2 linked regions of the Neurospora crassa OR74A genome follow. The protein of the gene in region 1 purifies or fractionates together with the protein of each later gene. This does not show direct contact. Links are inferred from orthologs where the notes say so. Each region holds a gene or a part of one and is shown in the gene's direction. Other genes may lie near its edges.

Region 1 (4,376 bases):
ATGCAGTGTTCATGCCGTTCAGTCAGTCCTCATCCGGACTCCATCGACGGTCACCATACAGGCAGCCGCAACTTTCACTTGATAGAGGAAACCGGAAACTGTCCGTTTTGTCATGTATCCATCAACATTGAAGTTATGGCGTGCATAAAACACCTGGACTATTTTACCCAGCAATTGCTCATGCCCGGATTGCTTCAGCGAGAGTGTGTTGGTGTGCTTTGACTGAAGCTGGAAACAACTGCCGTGTGTTATATGGGGAAACAGCATTATAGAGGGATAGAAACATGAAAGGAAAAAAAAAAAAAAAAAAAAAAAAAAAAAAAAAAAAAAAAAAAAAAAAAAAAAAAAAAAAAAAAGGGCCCGTTGTTTACGGGGGGCAAGCGGAAAACATGGAAAGCAAACAACATGGACCGCGTGGTAGGATCGTTTGTAGTGAGTGTATAGTACCTCGCGAAGAGACGAAAAGGACCGTACTGTGGCTCTCCTGGTATCATAGGATGTGTATCACAATTGCTTGGACGTCTGAACCTAGAGGTAGTAGAATAGACCTAGGTACCTAACATGAAGGACAGCACCAGCCATCAAGAAGGGTATCACTACCTTTACCCACAGATCCTCCATTTGGCAGGGCATGCGGAAGTGATGGCGCGTGTATTCTGAAAATGTTCTCCAGGAACGACCAAGCTGGAGTTCGGTAGTTTCACTTGGGTGTAACTTTCGTGCCATAGAGCATCGAGTAAAGTGGTGCCGAAACCTCACCTGAATGGAACAGGTCATAAAAATGGATAACCTCAGGTCTGTTAGGATGGCAAGTTGAGCAGAGAACGCAGTGGTGGACGTCGCCCCCGGTCCGATGTCTCTTGTCCTGAGCGTCGTCGGGGTCCTATGTCGTTGACGTTGACGTTGACGAAAAGGCAAATCGGGCAGGGGCCTTGGCCGTAACTTGGCGCGCCGCTGACTGGCCCTTGCCGCGGCTCGAACAAGGGACAACAAAGCCTAGAACACCGGGGGCCGCAACCTGTTGGGGGTGTTGGAGATCGGCTGGCCGCCGTGATAGGGCCCGTTAACATCTGATAGGCTCGCCCTGGTCCCTACGGGGCTTACGGGTACGGTCACTAACGTCTGTCACCGAATGTCACCGAGACTCTGAAGGGAACACGGCCCCACGGCGGGGCTCCGCTGTTCAATGTTCGGTCCCCTCGAGGTCCTCCGCTGCCAATCTAGAATAGAGGTCCGTGTGGCAGAGGTCTGAATCAGCGAACGGACAACCGCCGCGACCTCGAAATGCATAAAGCCTCCAAAAAAGTTAGAGATCGCCCAAACGGAAGGCGAACAACTCGTCCGCGCCGTCTTGCTGGACTATCTCTAGGTGTTTTTTTAAGTGTATATTCTACGGTCATATTGCCCATTAGTGCAGTCCTCGTCACATTGTTTAGCTCCCGTCTGCTGTTTGGTCGGGTGGCCAGTGCCCGTGCCAATGCCCAATTGAATATCGATGCTGCAGTGACATGTCGAAAGAAAAGGAAGAAAAAAAAAAAGAAAAAAAAAAGTGTAGGTAAGAGATATGGAAAAAAAACCAAAAAAACCGAAACCACGATACCTGTGGAACCGCGTCCGTATCGTAACTTTCTTCGCGTCCACCTTCTCTGCCATTCTCCATTGTCCTACTTTTCCTCCCTTTCTCCTAACCCACCTCTCCCCTCTTTTTTCCTCTCCCCCCCGTCAACCACACTCGCACCGCCTTTGCCAATTCCTTCCCTGAGGGTGCTTCTCTTCATCGTTCACGTTCCTGAATTCGGTCGATTTTTATTCTTCTTGGATCTCCACCACGGCGTGTGCCCTTTGTTCCTCGCCGCCGTCCAAAGCAACATCGCATTGTTGTCCCATCGTCACGGTCTCCCTTCGTTGGCAACCTGCGATTCAAGATCTGATATCTTCCGCCTCCCGCCCCCCCGTCCCTGAGTCGCTTTCCACCACCACCTAGGACTCAGCAAGAAAAAGCGTCGCTTTGTGTTGCACTGTCGAATTCTGCTCTGCTTCTGCCAGTCGAGTTTCTACCTTTGCGCAATCACCATTGTTGTGTTGCGCCAGATCGATACTCCCCCAACTCCGCCTTCGCCAACACACAACCAAAGCTTACGAGCTCCGCCTCTCGCAGCTTCGACACCAAGCGTGACCCGTTTCGAACACCGAAAAAAAAAGGTCCGCCTCTTGCTCGCAGCGACGACTCCAGTCCCCCGGGAAAAGGAGCCAGGTAACGAAACGAATCCCACACCGCTTTCTGCAAACCGCGATCACCTGTGACTTTCGCTAGTCATGGCCAATCCGTTGCAGCTCGCCTACCGAACCCAGAAGGCCATCGGCGTCTTTGATGCCGACCCTGTCTACGAAGCCCTTCCTGGATTCACCAAGCCCGAAGGGAATCTCCGGTGCTGTGTCTACTCGGGATGCGGCCGCTACTTTGCCTACGCCACTAACGAGGGCGTCGTCATCGTCGACGCGTCCGTCGGCCACGTCTTGACTTCGCTGCCCATCCCTGCCGTCTACGAACTCAGCTTCTCCCCCCACGGTACCTACTTGAGCACCTGGGAGCGCCCCGCCAAGGATGAGAATGGCGATGCTACCAAGAATCTCAAGATCTGGCGCACCATTGAGGAGCTCGCTGATGGTGCTGAGAAGCAGCCCATTGGCAAGTTCGTCCAAAAGTCTGCTAATGGCTGGAACCTGCAGTACACGGAGGATGAGCGCTTCTGCGCGCGCATCGTCACCAACGAGGTCCAGTTCTACAACAGCAACGATCTCGGCACCGTGTGGAACAAGCTGCGCGTTGAGGGCGTCTCCGACTTTGCCCTCGCGCCCGGTAAGAACCAGAACGTTGCTGTTTTCGTCCCAGAGCGCAAGGTACGTTACCTGATCTCCCGTATGCATCGCACTTTTCTATATCAACGTCTAACTGTTGGTTACAGGGACATCCCGCCTCCGTCAAGGTCTTCAACGTTCCCCAGTTCACCAGCCCGATTTCGCAAAAGACCTTTTTCAAGGCCGACAAAGTCCAGCTCAAGTGGAACCAGCTCGGAACTGCTCTGATTGTGCTGGCGCAAACAGAGGTTGACAAGTCCAACAAAAGCTACTACGGCGAGACCAACATGTACCTCCTGAGCGCCAACGGCTCGTTCGACGCTCGCGTCACTCTTGACAAGGAGGGCCCTATCCACGATGTGTCGTGGTCCCCCAACTCCAAGGAGTTCGGTGTCGTATACGGCTACATGCCCGCGAAAACCACCATCTTCAACCACCGTGCCGTCGCCACCCACTCCTTCCCTCTTGGCCCCCGTAACACCATCATCTTCTCGCCTACTGGCCGGTTTGCCTTGGTTGCCGGTTTCGGTAACTTGGCTGGTCAGATCGATGTTTACGACCTTGAGAAGGATTATCGCAAGATCACCACCATCGAAAGCGGTAACCCCAGTGTCTGCACCTGGTCTCCCGACAGCCGTTACATCTTGACGGCCACTACTTCTCCCCGTCTTCGTGTTGACAACGGCATCAAGCTCTGGCACGTTGGTGGCGGTATCATGTACAACGAGGACATGGTTGAGTTGTACAACGTTATCTGGCGCCCTGTTCCTGCTAACAACCTTCCCAACGTTGACCCGCTGCACCCCGTGCCCACTCCTCACCCTTCGGCTTTGGCATACCTTGGCACTGTCAAGACGCCTTCCAAGCCCGTCGGTGCCTACCGCCCGCCCGGCGCCCGTGGCTCTTCCACTCCTCTTCACTTCAAGCGTGAGGACGAGGGAGGTGCCGCCCACTCGGTTAGCAATGGCGTGCCTCAGGTCGGTCCTAATGGGTTCGGCCGCCCGCGCCGCCAGATTCCTGGCGCCGAGTTTGCCGAGCCAGCGAGACCTTCTGTTCCCGGCGCCGCTGTGGACGATGAGAACTTGTCCAAGACTGCCTTGAAGAACAAGAAGAAGCGCAACAAGAAGGCCAAGGAGGGCCAGGCACAGGGCGAGGGCGCGACTACTCCTAACGAGGGTGGTCTTGCCCCTCCCCGCGAGTCTGTCGACGGCCGCAGCCCCGATCGCAACCACCAGCGTCACCACTCGCGCAGCCAGTCGCGCAGCAACAACCTGGCTGTCCGTACTCAGAACAACCACCGCAGCCGCTCGAACGTGCGCCAGGCCAATGCCCCTGCTCAACAGGCTGCCCCAGTCGTTGACGCCGCCGCAGCGGCTGCCCAGAGCGCCAATGCGAAGAAGATCAGGTCTCTTCAGAAGAAGATCCGCGCTATTGAGGATCTCGAGATGAGACATGCTGGTGGTGAGAAGTTGGAGGATACCCAGTTGAAGAAGATCGCCACCAAGGGCTCTGTGATT
Region 2 (4,330 bases), on another chromosome or scaffold:
ATTGCTCGTCCGGGCGAATGAAGAGTTATGTAAGGATTCTATACCTGAAGAGAATCCTGAATGGTTGTTGTCGTCCATCAACTACAACAGGATGGTGCCTTTTTGATGTCCAATTCAATGACGATGAATACGGGTTCTATGGCCCATGCCCGCCCCGGCCTACTCACAAACACGAAGGCCAGAGGTCAAACAAGCCCTGGGCTGGCAAGGCTAGTCTGGGACACAGCCAAGCAGCGTCGTCCGTCAGATGCCTGCTCCCGCCTTGGTTCCTTCCACTTCACTTGACTTCTTGATTGAGTGATTGTGGTGTCCGCCGTGCCAATTGCTGCGCTAACGGTGGTGGAGGTAGTCTTGATATATGAATATCTTCATACGAGTTCCTTCCTTTTCCAGATGAACCCAGCAGCAACTCGGGTGGGACTGGTTCGGGTATTTGTATCAAGCCGATCTTGACATCTTGTTCTTTTCCATGTTAGACTTGACCCGGCACAGGGACCAATCACCACAATGGGACCAACCTCAACAGACAGCAGCCGCCATCAGGACCAAAACCTTTTCGTCGAAATGTTAGGATGTGTCATTACGCTCGAACTGTTCGAGTACCCAAGATGCCCTGTTCCAGACTTTGGTTTTTGCCGCTGGCTAACCAGTATATGACTGCAACATCCTGGCAGGTCATCCGGCCAAGTTGCCCCATCCAAGGTTCCGTGCGCGGCTTTGCCAACAATGTCTTTTTTGCAGGTGAAATGGACTGCGAATGCTGATACTCAGGACATCCGTTTTACTTCTCTATTTTTGTCTGGTGTGAAATATGCCCGTGGCACGAATGCAGCAGCAATGCCGTTTGCTAGCGGACTTCCAGAAAGGTAAGGCGGTCGTTAGCATTGTTCCATGGTGATGGGACAGATGCCAGCGACCCAGTGCCAAAATCCGGCACACCGCTGTAACCTATTGCATCTTCAACTCCAACCGCCAACTGAGATGGAATGTCCCGTGATTCAATACAAGTGAATCTCGCCGGTTTATACCAAATAGGTACGGCTGAAACGCAGGGTTTCATAACAACCCTCCAGGGTTCATGAATAAGTGCCCATGTCTGCCTGTTGTTGGCATGAGTCGTCGTCAGCCATGGTCGACCACAGTACCGTAAGTATGCTTGATCTCAGGTGGTGGCCCGGGAGCAAGTGGAAGTGCCAGGCAAAGTTGGAAGTCGCACGTTTCGCTGGATCTCCGGTCTGGTCTGCAGTCTGCACAGGTGGATGGATGCCTTTATGCGAGAATTCCTGGCGGGTCCTATCGATAAATCAAGGTTTTGCAGCCCATGCCACCCCGATACCCGCATGCCCTGACCGCCCTAGCCGCACTTCACCGGCTACGAGGGGCGCGGCACAGTGCGCAACCACAAGATGCGTGGGCGGGAAAGAAAAAAAATCTGACCTCCGCATTAAGACGTGAGCCATCCGGGCGTCGTTGCTTCTTGCCCTCTTTCTCCTCCTCTTCTTTCTTCAGCGGACCTCACGCCCTTTATCCTCAGGAAACTCCTCCAAACCGAAGCCAGAAAGAAGTCAGATAAGTACGAACATTTACCCTCTCGGTCTCTGTTCTATCTACTTCTTGTCTGTGACAAACAAAACCTCACCAAAAAAATTTGAAAATCGCCGAAAAAAGAGAAATCCCCCCCATCCATACAAAACCCCATAAAACCCACCAAATCCACCCACCTTTTTTGGAAGACATTTACCCAAGTCTCCAAGTCCACCAGTCTTCCTCTCCCTCTCCCGAATCTCGTCCTTGACCAGTCGAGTTCATCCTCCCTCTTTGTCAATACCGTCGCCCGTTCTCCGCGCCGGTTTTACTTGCTCCACACAACTCTAGATCTCGGGTACGTTGCTCGTCGCACTATCAATTCCTCCTGCCTTGCCATCGTCGTTGTCGTCGTCGCCGTGGCCGCCGCCAGTGCCGCCCGCCCAACGTCACGTCAATTGAGACTTGTCCTCTCCTCCTCCTTTCCGCTGTCGTCGTCGGTCGACACATCGGTTACCCCTCGGCGCCTTGATCAGAGACACAGACACACACAAAAGGATACGGACGCTGACAGTTCCATCCATCATACAGAATCTACAGTTTAACCAGCAAAAATGGCTGCCACTTCTACCGCCGCTGTCGACCAGCTCGCCGCTGACCTCGGCAACACCAGCCTCGACAACAAGGCCGCTGCCCCGGCCCCCATCGACACCAGCGCTGTCCCCGAGGCCCAGGCCGAGGGTGCTGAGGCTGCTCCTACCCCCACTGCTGCCCCTCACCCCCAGGCTTCCGCCTCTCTCTATGTCGGCGAGCTTGACCCCTCCGTCACCGAGGCCATGCTCTTCGAGCTCTTCTCCCAGATCGGCTCTGTCGCCTCCATTCGTGTCTGCCGCGATGCTGTCACCCGTCGCTCCCTCGGCTATGCCTACGTCAACTACAACACCACCGCTGACGGCGAGAAGGCTCTTGAGGAGCTCAACTACACCCTGATCAAGGGCCGCCCTTGCCGCATCATGTGGTCCCAGCGTGACCCCGCCCTCCGCAAGACCGGTGCCGGCAACATCTTCATCAAGAACCTCGACGCTGCCATTGATAACAAGGCTCTTCACGACACCTTTGCTGCTTTCGGCAACATCCTTTCCTGCAAGGTTGCCCAGGATGAGCACGGTAACTCCAAGGGCTACGGTTTCGTCCACTACGAGACCGATGAGGCTGCCTCCCAGGCCATCAAGCACGTCAACGGCATGCTTTTGAACGAGAAGAAGGTCTACGTTGGCCACCACATTCCCAAGAAGGACCGCCAGAGCAAGTTCGAGGAGATGAAGGCCAACTTCACCAACGTTTATGTCAAGAACATTAACAACGAGGTCACCGACGAGGAGTTCCGTGAGCTCTTCGCCAAGTTCGGTGAGGTCACTTCTTCCTCCCTTGCCCGTGACCAGGAGGGCAAGTCCCGTGGCTTCGGTTTCGTCAACTTCACCACCCACGAGGCTGCTGCCCAGGCTGTTGATGAGCTCAACGGCAAGGACTTCCGTGGCCAGGACCTCTACGTCGGCCGTGCCCAGAAGAAGCACGAGCGCGAGGAGGAGCTCCGCAAGTCCTACGAGGCTGCCCGCCTCGAGAAGGCCAACAAGTACCAGGGTGTCAACCTGTACATCAAGAACCTCGGCGATGATGTCGATGACGACAAGCTCCGTGCCATGTTCTCTGAGTATGGCCCCATCACCTCCGCCAAGGTCATGCGCGATTCTCTGATCGAGGGCTCCGAGGAGAAGGATGAGAAGGACAAGGAGAACAAGAAGGAGGGTGAGACCAAGGAGGAGGAGCAGAATGAGGGCTCTGAGAAGAAGACTGAGAAGAAGGGTGACCGCAAGCTCGGCAAGAGCAAGGGCTTCGGCTTCGTTTGCTTTAGCAACCCCGATGATGCCACCAAGGCCGTCACTGAGATGAACCAGCGCATGGTCGATGGCAAGCCCCTCTACGTCGCTCTTGCCCAGCGCAAGGATGTCCGCAAGAGCCAGCTTGAGGCCAGCATCCAGGCTCGCAACCAGCTCCGCATGCAGCAGGCCGCTGCCCAGGCTGGTATGCCCCAGCAGTACATGCAGGCTCCTGTCTACTACGCTGGTCAGCAGCCTGGTTTCATGCCCGCCCCCGGCGGTCGTGGCGTCCCCTTCCCCCAGGGTGGTATCGTCCCCGGCGTTCAGGGTGGTCGCCCTGGCCAGTACCCCTACCAGCAGGGTGGCCGCGGTGGCGTCCCTCCCCAGCAGATGCCCCCTATGGGTTACCCCATCAACCAGTTCGGCCCTGGTGCTTTCCCTCCTAACACCCCTCAGTACATGGCTGCTATGGGCCAGGTTGGTGCTCTTGGTGGTGGCCGTGGCGGTCCCGCTGGCCGGGGTCCTCAGGGCATCCCCGCCGGTATTCCCCAGGGTCTCCAGGGCGGCCCTGCCGTTCCCGGCTACCCCCCTGCCGGTCGTCCCCAGAACGGTGGCGGTCGCGGCACTCCTCGCGGCAACGCTAACTTTATGGCTGCCGGCCGTGGTGCCTCCCCCATTCCTGGCGCTCCTGCCGACCTCAGCGCTGGCTCTTTCCTCCAGGCTCAGCTCGCTACCACTCAGGATCCTCAGGCCCAGAAGCAGATCATTGGCGAGAACCTCTTCCCCAAGATCCAGGCCATCCAGCCCGCTCTTGCTGGCAAGATCACCGGCATGCTCCTCGAGATGGACAACGCTGAGCTGATCAACCTGTAAGTCTACATGTCTATTCCTGACTCTTCTACATATCGCTAACCTGTCTCTCTGTAGGT

The links.
Region 2: the proteins of NCU06099 (region 1) and NCU04799 purify together in Saccharomyces cerevisiae (affinity purification with mass spectrometry; 3 studies listed by BioGRID). This does not show direct contact. The link is inferred for Neurospora crassa OR74A from reciprocal best matches to the Saccharomyces cerevisiae genes YGR054W and PAB1.

The regions. Positions count from the first base shown.
Region 1 is NC_026507.1:1,796,967-1,801,342, reverse strand, and holds the start of NCU06099 (hypothetical protein), read left to right. Parts: upstream 1-1,559; 5' UTR 1,560-2,316; coding exon 2,317-2,901; intron 2,902-2,966; coding exon 2,967-4,376. UniProt on the Saccharomyces cerevisiae protein: Functions in the early steps of protein synthesis of a small number of specific mRNAs. Acts by directing the binding of methionyl-tRNAi to 40S ribosomal subunits.
Region 2 is NC_026506.1:863,848-868,177, reverse strand, and holds the start of NCU04799 (polyadenylate-binding protein), read left to right. Parts: upstream 1-1,468; 5' UTR 1,469-1,882; intron 1,883-2,115; 5' UTR 2,116-2,138; coding exon 2,139-4,270; intron 4,271-4,328; coding exon 4,329-4,330. UniProt on the Saccharomyces cerevisiae protein: Binds the poly(A) tail of mRNA. Appears to be an important mediator of the multiple roles of the poly(A) tail in mRNA biogenesis, stability and translation.